Macaca mulatta: one gene and its partner. The protein of the gene in region 2 binds, or shares a complex with, the protein of the main gene of each other region. Links are inferred from orthologs where the notes say so. Each region holds a gene or a part of one and is shown on either strand. Other genes may lie near its edges.

Region 1 (3,812 bases), on a different chromosome or scaffold from region 2:
AAATTTAAGATGTGCATCAAAAAACTGTACCAACAGAGGGCAAAGCAACCTACAGAACAGGAGAATGCTGATTTGCAAATCATATTTAATATGGGTTTAATATCCAGAATATATAATGAACTCCTGTAATTCAACAACAAAATGGCCAGGCAAGGTGTAATCCCAGTGCTTTGGGAGGTCAAGGTAGGAGGATCACTGGAGGTCAACAGTTCAAAGCTACAGTAAGCCATGATCTCACCACTGCACTCCAGCCTGGGAGACAGAGCAAGATCCTGTCTCTTAAAAAAACAAAACAAACAATCCAGTTAATATATAAGCCAAAGATTTGAAGAGATAGTTCTCCAAAGAACATATATAAATGGCCAACAAGCACATGAAAAGATGTTCAACATCATTAGTCAGTAGGGAATAAAAATAAAAACCACAATGAGATACCATTTCACACCTGTGGAGATGTGTGCCAGGCGCGGTGGCTCACGCCTGTAATCCCAACACTATGGGAGGCCAAGGCAGGCAAATCACGAGGTCAGAAGTTTGAGACCAGCCTGGCCAACATGGTGAAACCTTGTCTCTACTAAAAATACAAAAAATTGGCTGGGTGTGGTGGCAGACGCCTGTAATTCCAGCTACACGGGAGGCTAAGGCACGAGAATCCCTTGAACCCGGGAGGCAGAGGTTGCAGTGAGCCAATATCGCACCACCATACTCCAGCCCAGGCAACAGTGCGAGACTGTCTCAAAAAAAAAAAAAAGAGAAGATGTGGAAAAACTGAAGCACTCATACATTGCTGGTAGAAATGTAAAATGGTCCAGCCACTATGGAAAATAGTTTGGCATTTCCTCAAAAAGTTAAATATAGAGTTACCATATGACTAAGCATTTCCACTCCTAGGCATATATATCCAAAAGAATTGAAAACAGGGATTTAAACATATACTTATATGTGGATATTCACACAGGCATTATTTACAATAGTCAAAAGATGAAAACAATGTGCAAGTGCCCATCAACAAATGAATAAACAAGATATTTATCCAAATATGATGGAATATTATTCAGCCACAAAAAGGAATGAGGCACTGACATATGGTACAAGGATGAACCTTGAAACCATTATGCTATGCAAAATAAGCAAGATGCGAAAAAGGACAGCTATTGTTATGATTCCACTTACATGGAAAATCTAGAATAGGTCAATTCATAGACAAAGATTAGCGGTTATCAGAAGGTAAGGGGGGGAGAAAATGGGGAGTTATTATTTAATAGGTATCTTTCATAAGTGGTTTTGTTTAGGGTGATTCAAAAATTTCAAACAGAGGAATTACCGCTAACAAACGGTACACTTTAAAATGGCTAAAACAGCCAAAAATAAACTTATAAAGCGGGGAGGAAGAGACAACAGCAACAAAATTTCTGAAGGTAGAAAACAAATGAATCCCAAATGATATAGCAGACCCAAGAAAGCTGAATCTTAAGCTGGTAAAAGCCAAGAAGCAACTCAATTTGCACTCCAAAAGCTCAGAGGAAAGAGTGCAGGTAATCCTGGAGACAGGAAGTTTGGCTGAAAGCCCGTTTAAGAAAGTGGTTAATCTTTGGGATCCTCTCCCTGACTCTGAAGCTGGGGGCTACCCCTTCCCCACCTGGTAGCCAACTGGGGGTCTAGTCTTTGGTAGGTTAAAGCAGGGGGTCTCTGGACTAGGACATCCTACACATAGTGAAGGCTGAGGTGACATAATGACAAACGGAGACTATGTGAAAGTTTATATACTGAACGTTGATGCATTCAGCCTCACCCTCATCTCCCCTTAACAAGATGCAGACACCTGGATGCAAAGCCCCCAGCAGGAGAATCTGGGAGAAAATCAGGAACGATTACATAGAAAACTATGCAAAAACAAGGCAACTATCAATTCCAGGCAAAGCAAAATGCTGTGCATGATAGTTATCACATGATGCTTACATTGTTAAAATAACTTAGGACCTAACCAAAACTACGGTACCTATACAGGGAAGATGAGGGGGCAGGGGATTTTAAAAAACTAATTATTTGTCCTCTGAAGTAGAAAATCAGAAGATAATGTTTAAAATGGAAAACAGGAAGTAGAAATATAAACCTGTTATCTATCAACATGGAAATAAAAATCAAGACCTAAGAGTTGAAATCGGCTCCGAGCAGCAGCAAATGGTGTCGGCAGCAGGGCATAGGGACAGCACTGGGGGACGACTGTTCTTTCAAAACAAGCTTTGTGAAACTGAATTGACTGTTTCTATGTCTAGACAATAAAATTTAGATTAAAAAGAGAATAAACAGAAGTCAATATTTAATAAGTTACAAAGAATACTCAATAAAAGCACTAGTTACTTCTAGAATTCAGGATGATGTAGAGAGGGGAAAACGAATTTTCAATTTATTGTCTTAAATATTATTGGAATATATGTGTATGGTATTCTTTAAAAAAAAAGAATACATTATTTACTTGTATTTTTAAGAAAAGATTATTAAAAAGTAGTAAGCCAGCACTTACAAAGCTTCAAAAACACCTGCTCTGACCCATCTGTTACTAGATCCCAGGATCTGAGATGCCTCAAATCAACTTAAGTCAGAAGCAATATCAAGGACACAAGAAGTGAAGCGGCAAGAACCTGGGAAAGGCTCACTGCTCAGCCACCAGCGTCCCGCGGTTCTGACCACAGCATCCCGCTCACCTGCTGTCATGGGCACGACGTCGGAACGCAGGAGCATCTGGATGCGGCCGGCCGGCTTGTTTCCAATCTTGATGTCCATGTACACCTGAGGATTTGACCGAGCCTTTTTAGCAGCGGGCTCTCCCTAGATGCAGAAGAAATTGCTAGTTAGAGAGCTCCTTCACCCCCTAAGTAGGAGTGCGGGTATTCTACACACCCACCCGGAACACAATTCCAGTGAGTAGGCTGGAGCAAGTGCTGACGGGGAAGGCCTTGGTCCCTGACAGGGCTGCAGGAGGCAGGAGCCATGGTCGTAGCACCCAGCTGGATGCCCAGGGACAGGAGGTCTCAGCACTGCCTGAGGCCCATACATGGGTGTGTTATCTCATCATGCTCGCCCTCAGATGCATCTGCTTCCTCCTCTTGCTTCAGTCACAGAACAGCACTTTTCTGGTCCATGATCCACAACTCTCAATATCTTCAAATGCCAGTTCCAGCCCACCCACTGTCCTCTAGTTAGGCAGATCCATCCAAGTACCACCACCTCCTCCCTCTATGCTTGGCCCTGCACATACGCTGGCTGGCTACATGGAAGCAAGGGGGCAGCCCTCTTGCTCAGGCCTAAGTGCTCAGAAGACAGTGGAGAATGTTGGGCCTTGCTTTGTGCTCCAAGTAGATAAGACTAAGCAGAGGATACAGGATGATCCAGGGGGACTCCACTGACTGTGATGGCCACTTTATGAGTTCTGCTTTGCATCAAAATTTCTGGTGTGGGTCAATGTGTGGATGAATGGTGGCAAATTAGCCAAGATTGAGAATACAGGAAGACAGGATTAGAGAAGCGGGGGAATCCATTTTAGGCAAACTTAAGCTGCCTGAGACTTACAGGCAGAAATATCTGAAGCTCAGGACTAGAAAGAGACCATGAAGTTCAACAGCATAAGAGAGACTGCATAAAATTAGAGACTGACTGCTACTGTTTCAGCTGAGAGAAAAGAGAGAAACCATGAGCCAAGAAAGAAATACAGAAGAATGACAACATTCACAACGTATCCAGAGGAGGGGAAGCCCAGAAAGCAACTGTCAGAGACCTATGGTGAGAATCAGGAGGAAGTGCCCTGGCAGGTT
Region 2 (4,526 bases):
GTGAGCAACTGCCGAAAGGGAAAGTAGGTATGAAGAGCATAACCCAGGGACCTCCCCTGCCATCACATCTTTTCCTTTTAGCCATAAACAGCCCACCATCTCCTCCTCCAGTGCATTGGCACCACCTCCCATCCTCTCAGGCTCTGAGCTAAGATGGCCCTAGACTAAGGCAGCCAATAGGCACCTTTGATGTCGATGAGCTGCTCCTCGGAGAGAGGCTGGTTGTTGATGGGGTCGGTACCATTCTCTGCAATGTACTTCTCAATGAGCCGCCGCTCATAAACATGATTAGAGACAGGGGACACACATGGGTGCTCCGGCACTTCATTAGAGACTGTAGAGAAAAGGCCGGCAGTGAGCTTGGAGTGAAGGCAATCTTGAGCCTAGAGGATTCCTCATCTGCTATTAGCCCCAACAAGACTAGGCATCCTCACAATCAACTAGCAAAAAGCAAGACATCTGACCCTAAGCCAGTTCTGTACTGGCCCCAGAATGCTTTCCAGCTGTGGAACTAGCTTTTCCTTTAGTCTCCTGACAATCAGATAGTCAACAAATAATTATTAACAACTACTATGTGCCAAGCACCTAGAGAACAGCAGTCCATTATCGCCACCTAATATCTGAACAATGATTGTGTACTCTATGAATACAGTTTACTCCATGACATGGAGACACACATGAAGCCATTCAAATCCCTTCCATCCATCTTAGTCTATAGCTCCAGAGGGATTATCAAAGAAATCATAAAGTCTGAGAATATAGGAATAACAAACTCAGTTTCTCCTATTCTCTCACAAAACAAAATACTTCTGTGACCTCAGATGTGACCATCCGGGTGTCCTCCAATTCAATTCTGACACCAGGTACCTGGAGATAGTGTCAGATCACACGGGTTGAGGTCTCAGTCCCACCAGACTCCCCCACCCCTTCAGATGCCAATCGCAAGCTCCAGGTTGTTTGACCTGTTCTTCTGATCTACCAGCTGTAAATCAGGGTTCCCATGACCCCCTTTTTGGGTTCAATTAATTTTCAACAGTGACTCACAGAATTGTGGGAAACACTTATGTTGACCAGTTTATTATAAAGGATATTACAAAGGGTATAGATGAAGAGGTGCATAGGATGAGGTATGGGAGAAGGAGTACAGAGCTTCCCATGCCCTCCCTGGGCACCCCACCCTCCAGGAACGCCCACATGTTCTGCTATACAGAAGCTCTTTGAATCCTGCCCTTTTGTATTTTTATGAAAACTTCATTACAAAGGCATGATTCAATAAATCACTGGTCACTAGTGACAACTTCAGCCCCTCTCGTTCCCCAGGTAAGTGGGGGGTAGGACTGAAAATCCCAACTTTCTAATACCCTTTAGTCTTTCTAGGTGACCAGTCCCCATCCTGAAGCTATTGACGTCTGCCAGCTACCAGTCAACTGATTAGGATACAGGCAGACACTTATCACCTGGAAGATTCCAAGGAGCAAAGTGGCAATCATTACAATAAAAATATTTACATGGCACATGTCTATGTGCCAAGCACAATTCTAGGCATACAGTACAGTAATTCATGTTCACAACAACCCGCAATAGAGGTATCATTTACACTCTTGCCTGCATAGACTGTGCGCCCCTTGAGGATAAGGATTACAGCTGGTCTCTCACTTCCAGTACAATGCAGATGCCCCCGGGGCACTCGGTAAACATCTAACGAATGAGTGAACCCTGCCAGGAAAGATAGTGCTGGGGAACGTAAAAGAGAGCTTTCCCAAGACTGGAAGGAAACAATGAATATGAAGGTACTTTGCGAGCTGTAATTTCTTCAATGTGAGGGATTCCTTTTCCATCATTTCCCTTCCTTCTTCCCCCTCTCTGGATCAACGTACAGGTTCTGAGAAGAGACGGAGGTGAATAGCAAAAGGGAGGGGAAACGAGTAATCTGATGAAACAACGAAAAGGGAAAGGAAAACGTATGTACGTCATGATAAAATATCAAAGGGAAAGATAGTGGAAGGTATGGAAAAAGCAAGGATTCAGGCTCCAAACTCCGTGTCACCTAACTACGTCACCCAGCTCTGCCATTGACTAGCTACGCATTCTTAGATAAGCCCCGCTCTTCCTGAGCCTTGCCTCCTCATTTGCAACACCAGGATCTTTTCTCCTTTAGGGAATTCTTGTGAGGATAAAATGAGATCCTAGACTTGGAAGCGCGTTGTAAACCAATAAGGGCTTTATAAATGTGCGCTGTTTTTAATTAGTCATACACTGTAAGGCTGGGAGCCATATACCTAGCTGCCAGCCTTGCCTACCTCTAACTCATCATGTGACCTTTACAAATTGCAAAAGCTGCGACTATCCGAGCAAGGCCTCACAAAATATCCAGTGCAATGCTCTCAATTTTGCAGATGGGGAAACCGAGGCACAGAGCCTTAAGCCAATTCACAAAGCCAACAGGAGGCGGACCCTGGACAAGACCTCGGGTTTCCTGACTCTTACATCAAGGCTGTTTCCCCTGCACCAGCTCCCTCTGTCCAGGCCTGTTTCCACTCGGTAGAATGAGGCGACCTGCCTCAGTAATGCCTGCGACAATAAACCTCCGGCACTATGTAAACTGCGGAGCACTGCGCAAATGCACCCCGCTCCGAGGGGAGGGCTCCGGGGCTGACAGGCCGCCGCTCTGCCTCTGGAGCGCCCCATTCCCGCCTCCACCCCGGCCCCGGCCCCGGCGCCGCAGTGGCCCGCACACGCTCCCGCGCCGCTCTCCGGCCTCCTGCGACCCGCGCTCGGCCGCAGGCAACACTCACTGGAGCAGATTAGGGACATGGCGCCGTTGCCGCGCTCCCAGGCGCCACACGCCGGACTCCGGGACTGGCTTCTGAGCCTCCGCGAGCCACTTCCGGTCCCCCGCTGCTGCCGGGACTGCTCAGCTGCGAGCTGGGAGCCGCCAGTCGAGCGATGCTCGCGTAGCGCTTCACGTGGGAATGGGGACAGCCGCGCGCCACTGCCTCCAGCACCTAACGGAAATAGACCTTTCCCAGAATGCAGCCGGGCAGGAAAGGGCCCGCCACGAACACTCGGTTATTTCCGGATTGACTCGGCTCGTTCCGTAAAGCGCCCGGGGATTGGCGGGGGCGTCGGAAGAGAGGAGACTCGAAACTACATTTCCCATGATGCAGTGAGAACTTAAAACCAAAGCAATTGGACAGCACTTGTTTTGACAACTGTGCGGCACTGTGTCACGGGACCCTGGTCTTTGAAACCTTGGTGTGCGCGAGAATTTCCCAATTTCCCATTGTTAAAATGCAGATTCCTCGGATCTGCGTAGACAGACTGCGCCCCACGCTATTCTAAGTCAGGTGTTTCTCGGGCCACCCTTTAAGAGACACTGCTGGATGGCCTGGTGTTAAAAATACAGAGGCAGATGGGTACAGGAACTAAGAAAACGGCTAAGACAGCGTTTTGGTCCTGACTACTACCGTTTCGCTCTGTGATTTGGGGCAATTCACATTGGCTTCCCTGCCCTTTCTTCTTTGTCAAAAGACAAAATCACAACAAATTTAGTTTAAAGTTTTTTGTTTGTTTTTGTTTTTTGGTTTTGTTTTGTTTTTGTTTTTGTTTTTAAGAGACGGACTCTGGCAATGTTGCCCAGGCTGGAACGCAGTGGCTATTCACAGGTGCAATCGTAGCAATCATGGCTATCACAGGTGCATCCTGGAACTCCTGGGCTCAAGTGATCCTTCTGCCTCAGCCTCCAGAGTAGCTCTGGGACTTAGGGTGCAATTCTATAAAATTGGGCAGCGCCTTACACTATAAAATCTAATGGTTGTTCCAATGAGCTGAACAGGGGAGCTTGGTTTTTTAGACAGAAAAGGACTGAGGAAAACAGAAACAGAACAAAAATGGGATTGGTCATTTGGTAATCTCAAAATTACTTTTCTTGTAAAGGTTAAAGTGGAGGGTACTTCTTTATCATGCCATGTAAAACTTGCCTGTTTGGGAATTTAGCTCTCCCCGCCAACACACATGCACACACACACTCTCTCTCAGAAGGTCATAAAGATCTTAGTTTCAGCTCATTGGGGTGGAACTTCGGCAGGACTCTTTTTAGCTTGGTCTGTTAGGCCTAGCGCAAGAGCTCAGTCCAAACCAGTGGCCTCTTATCAATTTATTTTGTATTTTCTGTTTCTCTTCCAGCTCAGATAGTGTATGATTCTTTGTGGATATCTGTAAGATAAGATACTCTCAGGAATCATGCAAAAGACATGTGGTGTGGACTATAAGGTATCAAGACAAACGGGCAGGATGAACAGGATGTGTGAGTGAGAGGGACTTTGACAGGTGGGCAGTATTCAGAGGAGAAGGAGAAGGAAAGGCATTCCAGAAGGAGAAACAATGTAAGCAAAAGCTTGGAGAGAAAAATAAAAGTTACAGGTACAAAAGGTAGTATGGCATAGTGGCCAAGAGCATGGACTCTGAAGTCAGACTGTGTGCTCAAATCCTAGCACCACCCAGGTGATTAACTGTATGAACTTCTC

What was found.
Region 1: PRPF19 (region 2) and PPIE share a complex: the UniProt entries of both Homo sapiens proteins name them as parts of the XAB2 complex. The link is inferred for Macaca mulatta from reciprocal best matches to the Homo sapiens genes PRPF19 and PPIE.

The regions. Positions count from the first base shown.
Region 1 is NC_133406.1:201,035,341-201,039,152, forward strand, and holds part of PPIE (peptidyl-prolyl cis-trans isomerase E), read right to left. Parts: intron 2,830-3,812; coding exon 2,706-2,829; intron 1-2,705. UniProt on the Homo sapiens protein: Involved in pre-mRNA splicing as component of the spliceosome. Combines RNA-binding and PPIase activities.
Region 2 is NC_133419.1:13,165,836-13,170,361, reverse strand, and holds the start of PRPF19 (pre-mRNA-processing factor 19), read right to left. Parts: upstream 3,016-4,526; 5' UTR 2,815-3,015; coding exon 2,796-2,814; intron 1,883-2,795; exon of another isoform or gene 1,795-1,882; intron 335-1,794; coding exon 185-334; intron 9-184; coding exon 1-8. UniProt on the Homo sapiens protein: Ubiquitin-protein ligase which is a core component of several complexes mainly involved pre-mRNA splicing and DNA repair. Required for pre-mRNA splicing as component of the spliceosome.